2 linked regions of the Macaca mulatta genome follow. The protein of the gene in region 2 purifies or fractionates together with the protein of the main gene of each other region. This does not show direct contact. Links are inferred from orthologs where the notes say so. Each region holds a gene or a part of one and is shown on either strand. Other genes may lie near its edges. The genes, in order: MCM8 and MCMBP.

Region 1 (3,821 bases), on a different chromosome or scaffold from region 2:
TGAGGCAGGAGAATTGCTTGAACCTAGTAGGCAGAGGTTGCAGTGAGCTGAGATCACACCACTGTACTCCAGCCTCAGTGACAGAGAGAGACTCCGTCTCAAAAAAAAAAAAAAAAAAAAAAAGGAATCTAAGTCAGATAAAGTGTTTGGTTGATTTGGAGAGTCTTTTAGAATTGTGTATTTGTCTAAACAAGTTACTTATGTATTTTGAGACATAGTCTCACTCTGTCGCCCAGGCTGGAGTGCAGTGGTGTGATCTTGGCTCACTGCAACGTCCATCTCCCGGGTTCAAGAGATTCTCCTGCCTCAGTCTCCCAAGTAGCTGGGACTGCAGGCGCGTGCCACTACACCCGGCTAATTTTTGTATTTTTAGTAGAGATGGGGTTTTGCTGTGTTGGCCAGGCTGGTCTTGAACTCCTGACCTCAGGTGATGTGTCTTCCTTGGCCTCCCAAAGTGCAGGGACTACAGGCGTGAGCCACTGCACCTGGCCTAAACAAGTTATTTTAGCAGAAAGATTTTTTTTGCCACTTATCTTTGTTATCTTGGGCCTTTTAATCATGCTTCAGGTGGTTCCTGGAGAAACAATAGATCCCATTCCCCACCAGCTATTGAGAAAGTACATTGGCTATGCTCGACAGTATGTGTACCCAAGGCTATCCAAAGAAGCTGCTCAAGTTCTTCAAGATTTTTACCTTGAGCTCCGGAAACAGAGCCAGAGGTTAAATAGCTCACCAATCACTACCAGGCAGCTGGAATCTTTGATTCGTCTGACAGAGGTTTGTTTCTTTTTATGGTCTTGCTTTTTTGGCTTAAAGGGGAAGGGTGTGCCTTGACTTCTCTTTTGAAGTATTGTCTGCATAACTGACTCCGTTTTTCTTTCTATTGAGAGACGTTAGAAATGGATGGATGAAAGTTTTTAAAAAGATTTTGTCATGTCTGTAACATATCAAAGTATAGCTACTTCTTTCTAGTCATACAATCGATTACTTAGCATGCAACTTTTGTTTTTCTTTGACTGACTCTTAGGAGACTCCTGGAATGTCTGAAAAGTGGTTAGGTTAACTAGGATTCTGAGATCCCAAGTTGAGTATATGGGAACACGGAATGTGTCAGGTATCTTGAGTATTTTATTTTATTACATGACAGGTTCACAAGGATAGTGCCTGTGTTTTTAACAGTAGTAATATCTATTCACAGTTGTGAAATACTAAAAGAACTCCAGCAGTTAAGATTAGCTAGCTTAGAGTTTGGACTTCTAGCTCCTAAAATCTGATTAACTCCTCTTTGTTGTTTTACCATATTGGTTAGGCATGATTTCCTAAAAGCAAAAGGCAAGGGAAAACCAAGTGTATTTTATCATCCAATCTCCTGAAATGAATACTGAGAAAGATACATTAATAAGTAAAAACGAGTTTTATCCTTATTTTAAGTGAGTTGTAATTTCATAGTCAAGGTTTCAGATTTTATTTTATTTTTTTTGCCCTGAGTCAGGGTCTCCCTCTGTCACCTAGGCTGGAGTGCAGTGGCATGATCAAGGCTTATTGCAGCCTCTCCTCCCAGACTCAAGCGATCCTCCCACCTCAGCCTCCCAAGTAGTAGCTGGGCATACACCACCGCACCCAGCTAATTTTAAAATTTTTTTGTAGAGACAGGTCCTCACTTTGTTGCCCGGGCTGGTCTCGAGCTCCTGGGCTCAAGTGATCTTTCCACCTTGGCCTCCCAAAGTGCTGGGATTATAGGCGTGAGCCACCACCGCCAGCCCAGAGAATTATTTTCATATTTTGACTTCTGATGTTATGACCTTCCTCACCTAAAGGTCAGTTTTTGTGTAAAATTAGTAAATGAAGTAAAGCTTAGACATACTGTGGTAAATATATTCATCTTTTGTCATCTGAAAATGGTGTTTTCTTTTAAAGGCACGAGCAAGGTTGGAATTGAGAGAGGAAGCAACCAAAGAAGATGCTGAGGATATAGTGGAAATTATGAAATATAGGTAAGATAAAAATTTCAAATAGTTTTAAATGAAATACCAGTTATCTTCCCATCTCAAATTAGGCAATAGGCCAAGGCTGCTTTTATTTAGCCCATTGGGTCACTTATTTTCCTCCTGAACAGAGTATCGTTTCTTAGTTTAAAATATTTCTCACTGTGTAAATAATCTTAAAAATTTTTTTGAATGAGTAATACATTTACATAGTGCTATAATCAGTTCCAAAACCTATTGGAGAAGAGCTAGCTCCTGTGCTATTTACCACCTACTCGCCCTTCACCCAGAAACCCATTGCTTTTCCATAAATAGTCTACCGATTATACTCTTCTGTATCAGTTTTGAATTTTAACAATATATTCAGAGATCTTTTCTTATTAGAGATTCTTTTTTTATAGCTACAGAGTATTCTATAGTGTAGATATACTATATAGTATATTTGATCAGTTCCCTTTTGACACATAGATATTTTCCATTCTTGTGCTTTTAAATAATGCTACAGTGAGTAATGTTCTATGTAAGATACTATATACGTGGGTAAGTTGTACACCTACATGATAAATTCTCAGAAGTGATATTTCTGGGTTCAACAGTAAATACTATAGGTTTTTGATAAATATTGGTAAATTGTATCCTTTGCATTTTATATCATTTAGTAGATAATGATTCCTAGAAGGTAGAAAAGAAAAATTAATTGAGCATATATGTTTACCTTAGACATAGACTTTTAAAAATCAGAAATGTTATTTTAGGTAGGTTTTTTATTCCAGCTAAAAAATTTTTTAATAGGTCCATACTTTCATAAGCTTCAAAATTCCAAAGTTCAAAAAGTATAGGTCGGACACAGTGGCTCACACCTGTAATCCCAGCACTTTGGGAGGCTGAGGCAGGTGGATCACCTGAGGTCAGGAGTTCGAGAACAGCCTGGGCAACATGGTGAAACCCCGTCTCTACTAAAAATACAAAAAATTAGCCAGGCATGGTGGTGAGCGCCTGTAATCCCAATTACTTGGGAGGCTGAGGCAGGAGAATTGCTTGAACCTGGGAGGCGGAGGTTGCAGTGAGCTGAGATTGTGCCACTGTACTCGAGCCTAAAAAAAAAAAGTATATAGTGGAAAAAGTTTCCTCCTACTCTGCTTATTTAATAGCTACCCCGTTCTTCCTGCTAGCCAGTGGCAATTATTAGCAGTTTTTTGTGTGACTATGTATCTATATATTCTTTTTTCCTCTTTGTAGACAAATGGTAACTATAACAACATACCATATACATACTATACCTTGTTTTTTTCATTTAAAATCCATTTTTAATATCCTCTCATAGCAATGAAAATACATATCTGTTAGGAATCTACTTTTCCAAGACCAAAAAATATATTGAAGATGAAATTATTTATCTTACTTTGTTAAGTAATTTCTGATTCTTCTAAGGTAGATGAATTCTTTTGTCCTAGTAGCTGCTGATTCTGGGGCTTGCGTCGTGTCAGAACCAGGTGGTTTTGCCCAGCTATTCCCCTTTGGCTGTGAACAAAAGTGCAGCATAGCTGGAAGAGCAAGGGCTCTGGAGTCCAACCTGGAGCTGCCATGGCAAGTTACACACTGCTTCTCAGTTTCCTCTGCCGTAAAACACACCACAAAGGATTGTGCTCTGAGGTGTCATGCAGTGATGCTCTATAAAGTGATAAATAGGGTTCTAATACATTAGAGGACACTCAATAAACACTGTTTACTATCAATAGCGCAAGTCTTTTTTTTTTTTTTTTTGAGACAGAGTCTGGCTCTGTGGCCCAGGCTGGAGTGCATGTTGGCTCACTGCAACCTGCGCCTCCTGGGTTC
Region 2 (3,821 bases):
AGATCTTCAAAGTATATGATGAAGCTGCAACAGCTTAATATGCCAGAAAATAAATGTTAAAAAATAGTAAGATCATCTCAAAAAAAGGACCCAGCACCTGCTTAAAGTGGCTCCCACTAGCTACATCTGGGAAAACTTGGGTCTCAAAATAATATAATGATACTAACATTGAATAAAATCAGAATCTATTAGTCCATACTAAATATAAGTAAATAAATTACTTGAATAAACACATGGAAGAGATATCTTTTATAGTAGAATGCCAATAAATAAATGTACTGAGTTAGAGAATTGCCAACGTTGTAATAACTGATTCAAGCAAGAATCATCAATTAATGCTGAAATAAATTGGTGAAAGTTTAATGAGAAACTGGATATTTACGTCCCAAAGTATCTTCCTCCAAGTTACTTGTCAATTACAAAGTGAGAAATGTAACTTTAGAGAAGAGACATCTGGAAGACACACCTTAACCAACTGATGAAAATTAACCTCACCAGTAACGGGACAGACTGACATCGCATGCCTCCTGCTTTAACATACTGAGGATACATCACTTCTGTAATATTCCTGCCAAAAATGCGCAACATTGAGTCTAACAAGTAACAAGTACATGAGGAAACAAGTAACTGGCTTACACTCTTCAAAAACGTCAAGGCTTTCTGCTCTCTACCACGTGAGAAGACAGCCACCTGCAAACCAGAAGTGGGCCCTCACTAGAAACCACATCTGCTGGGAACTTGATTTTGGACTTCCCAGTCTCCAGAACTACTGGAAGACATATATTTCTGTTGTTTAAGGGGAAAAAAAAAGTGGCAAGACCATGAAAGACAAAGGCTGAGGACTATTTCAGATTGAACTCTAGTTATTTAGGTTTATGTTTTATAGAGGTATGAGTTAACAATTCTGAAATTCCCTTCTCTATGTTGTACAAATGTGCAAATGACAGATTGTGAAAAATGGGAATCAAGTTTAAGAGTTACACTAACACAGAAAGGAGAACAAGTAGAACGACACCTGTGGTGCTGAACTGGAATCAGAAATACAGTATGAACTCAGTAGAAATAGAGAATAAGCGAGCTTCCGAACCCTGGACTGGGGGATGCGGAAGGGAGAAGTGTAAGAAAGAACATGATTAAGACAATTAGTAAAATTAAGTATAGACTGTGGATTAGTGTATTGTGTATTTGTGGCAAATTTCCTAGTTTTGATACCTGTACTCTGATTACATATGAGAAAGTCAGTGCTCTTAGGAAATGTTGACAAGCAGTTGGGGTAAAAGGGTTTGATTTCTGCAATATATTTTGAAGTGTTTCAGAAAAATGTGTGCATCCATAGAGAGCACAAATGAATGACAGAGCGCATGGGGTGCATGTGTTTACAACTGGTACATCCGGGAAGCGAGTTCTTCAAAACCATCCTGTAACTTTCCCAAAAACTTGAAATTACATAAAAATAAAGGAGACCAGAAAAAGAGCACACAGACTCACCTTTCATCGTTATTCAGTATACTCAGCACAGGATCCACAGACAGGATGCCATACAGCTCAAGAATGTCATTTACTTTGAAACAATCCCAATCTTCATAAACCTAACAAGAGACCACATGAAATCATACTGTTAGAACAGACACAAAGCTTAAGATACTAGTCCTGGAGTACTAACATCTTAGAATTTTAGATCAGGAAATGGACCTTAAAGCAAGTCCTTTATTTTATAAATTTTTATAAATTGAGACCAAGAGTCACTCTGCTAGTTAGCAAATAAGTGAAAAACCAAAACACAGGATGCCTAACTTCCAGACTAATATCTCTTTTCAATATACCACAGTACTACAAAAAAAAAAGTCTTTTTCTAAAATTAAAAAAGGGCTTTTCCCAAAGGCTGACAGTTAAAACTAGAAACGTGCACTATCTCAAAATCTATTAACCACATCAAGAAAAGGAAAAACAAAAACAAGATGATTAACTTTGCATTTATTCATAAACTGCAACATTGGATTAACACAAAACTTAGAATGGCCAGAAGATTTTTCACAATTTAAAAAAAAAAACACATTCAAAATTGTCATGATGGACTTTAGTAATCGTCAAGGCCATTTATTTACTGAACAGACCCGGCAGAAGCATGGCAGGGAAAAAAGTAGTCATTTTGGTCCCTGTGCCATATGACTGAAGTATCATTTCAATTAAAACCACTGAGAATCTGAGTGTAGTGGTCACCCCTGGAATCCCAGCACTTTGGAAGGCTGAGGTGGGTGGATCACTTGAGGTCAGGAATTCGAGACCAGCCTAGCCAACATAGTGAAACCCCATCTCTAGGAAAAATACAAAAAACTAGCTGGGTGTGGTGGCACATGCCTGTAATCTCAGCTACTTAGGAGGCTGAGGCACGAGAATCGCCTGAACCCAGGAGGTAGAAGTTGCAGTGAGCCAAGATCATGCCACTGCACACCAGCCTGGACAACAGAGTAAGACTGCCTCAATAAAACAAAACAAACCCCCCTGCCCCCAAAACAAGAAAACCCAAAATGCACAAAGGATGGAAATCCTTAACAATCATTTTAAAACCTTCTGTCACTTGCTCATTTATCAGCATCAAAACACTAGAATAAGTAAGATGGAAGAAAAAACTATTAAAAGTTTTCTTCCTTCTGTTTTATTTTAAATACAAGTGAGAAATAGGTTTTGCTGAGAGAAGGAAGAAGACAAAAATGAAGATTATATGTTAGAAATGATACAGGAAGGGAACAGACAATTTAAAAGTTGTTCTGCTTCTGCATTTGAGATGTTCTTTGATTCTTTTAACTTGTGAATGTTAGCTTATATGCAAAAGGAACGTGCAGAGGTGTGATTAATAACCTTGAAATGGGGGGGATTATCCTCGATTAACTGTGTGGGCCCCATGTAATCCACAGATTCTTAAAACCGGGGAACCTTTCCTGGTTGTGGTCAGGTGAGATGTCACCATGAAAAAAATGGTCAAATGCAATGTTGCTGGCTATGAATATGGAAGAAGGAGCCACAAGCCAAGGAAATTCTCCCTTAGGGGCTCCAAGAAAGGAATGTAGTCCAACTCCTACATACAAAGGAGTTTACCTCGGTGAGACCATGTTGGATTTCTGACCTAAAGCCTGTAAGATGATAAACTTTTGCTGCTTTAGGCTATTAAATTTGCAGTGATTTGCTATAGCTAGTCCAGCATAAGAAAACGAATGCAAATGCTCAGACACTAAGCTACTTTCTGAGACACATAACATGTCAATGTCAGACCTAAGAAAGGTTTTATTACCTTCACAAGGCACGCAGGGCCCTTCTCTCCTGGCAATGGAAAATTCAAATCAAAAGGAGAAGAGAAGTTCAGAGAGTTCAGCTGTTGCCCAGTAGAAGCTTCAGTTTCCAAACGTTTTGGCTCTCCACACCATTGAAGACCACCAACACTCCCTAAATTCAAAGGATAGCATTGCACTTAGTCATTTCTAAGCCCTCCTGGAGAAAAAGAATGTTCCATAAGTGCCTTTCAAGTTTGACATATGTGATGCTTCTGAGCTTGCAAAGTTCAAGTTGTTACAGTTTTTAAGGAAACAGCACATACTAACAAAGTCTTTTGTTTGATCTGTAAGAGAACAAAGATAAATATGAAGATCTAAAAATTTATTTTTTTCCCTTACTATAAAGGTATCAAAAAATTCCTCCCATCAAATCTCATGTATAACCAGTTTCAAAAGCTGATTTGCAATATGGTTACTTTGACATCTTTGATTTAAGGAATACATGGTCTACCGACAGCAAAACTCCTTGGTAGAACATACTTTTTCTATTAA

What was found.
Region 1: the proteins of MCMBP (region 2) and MCM8 purify together in Homo sapiens (co-immunoprecipitation; 3 studies listed by BioGRID and IntAct, with this or other methods). This does not show direct contact. The link is inferred for Macaca mulatta from reciprocal best matches to the Homo sapiens genes MCMBP and MCM8.

The regions. Positions count from the first base shown.
Region 1 is NC_133415.1:78,003,549-78,007,369, reverse strand, and holds part of MCM8 (DNA helicase MCM8), read left to right. Parts: intron 1-567; coding exon 568-777; intron 778-1,917; coding exon 1,918-1,994; intron 1,995-3,821. UniProt on the Homo sapiens protein: Component of the MCM8-MCM9 complex, a complex involved in the repair of double-stranded DNA breaks (DBSs) and DNA interstrand cross-links (ICLs) by homologous recombination (HR).
Region 2 is NC_133414.1:131,947,740-131,951,560, forward strand, and holds part of MCMBP (mini-chromosome maintenance complex-binding protein), read right to left. Parts: intron 3,442-3,821; coding exon 3,290-3,441; intron 1,590-3,289; coding exon 1,489-1,589; intron 1-1,488. UniProt on the Homo sapiens protein: Associated component of the MCM complex that acts as a regulator of DNA replication.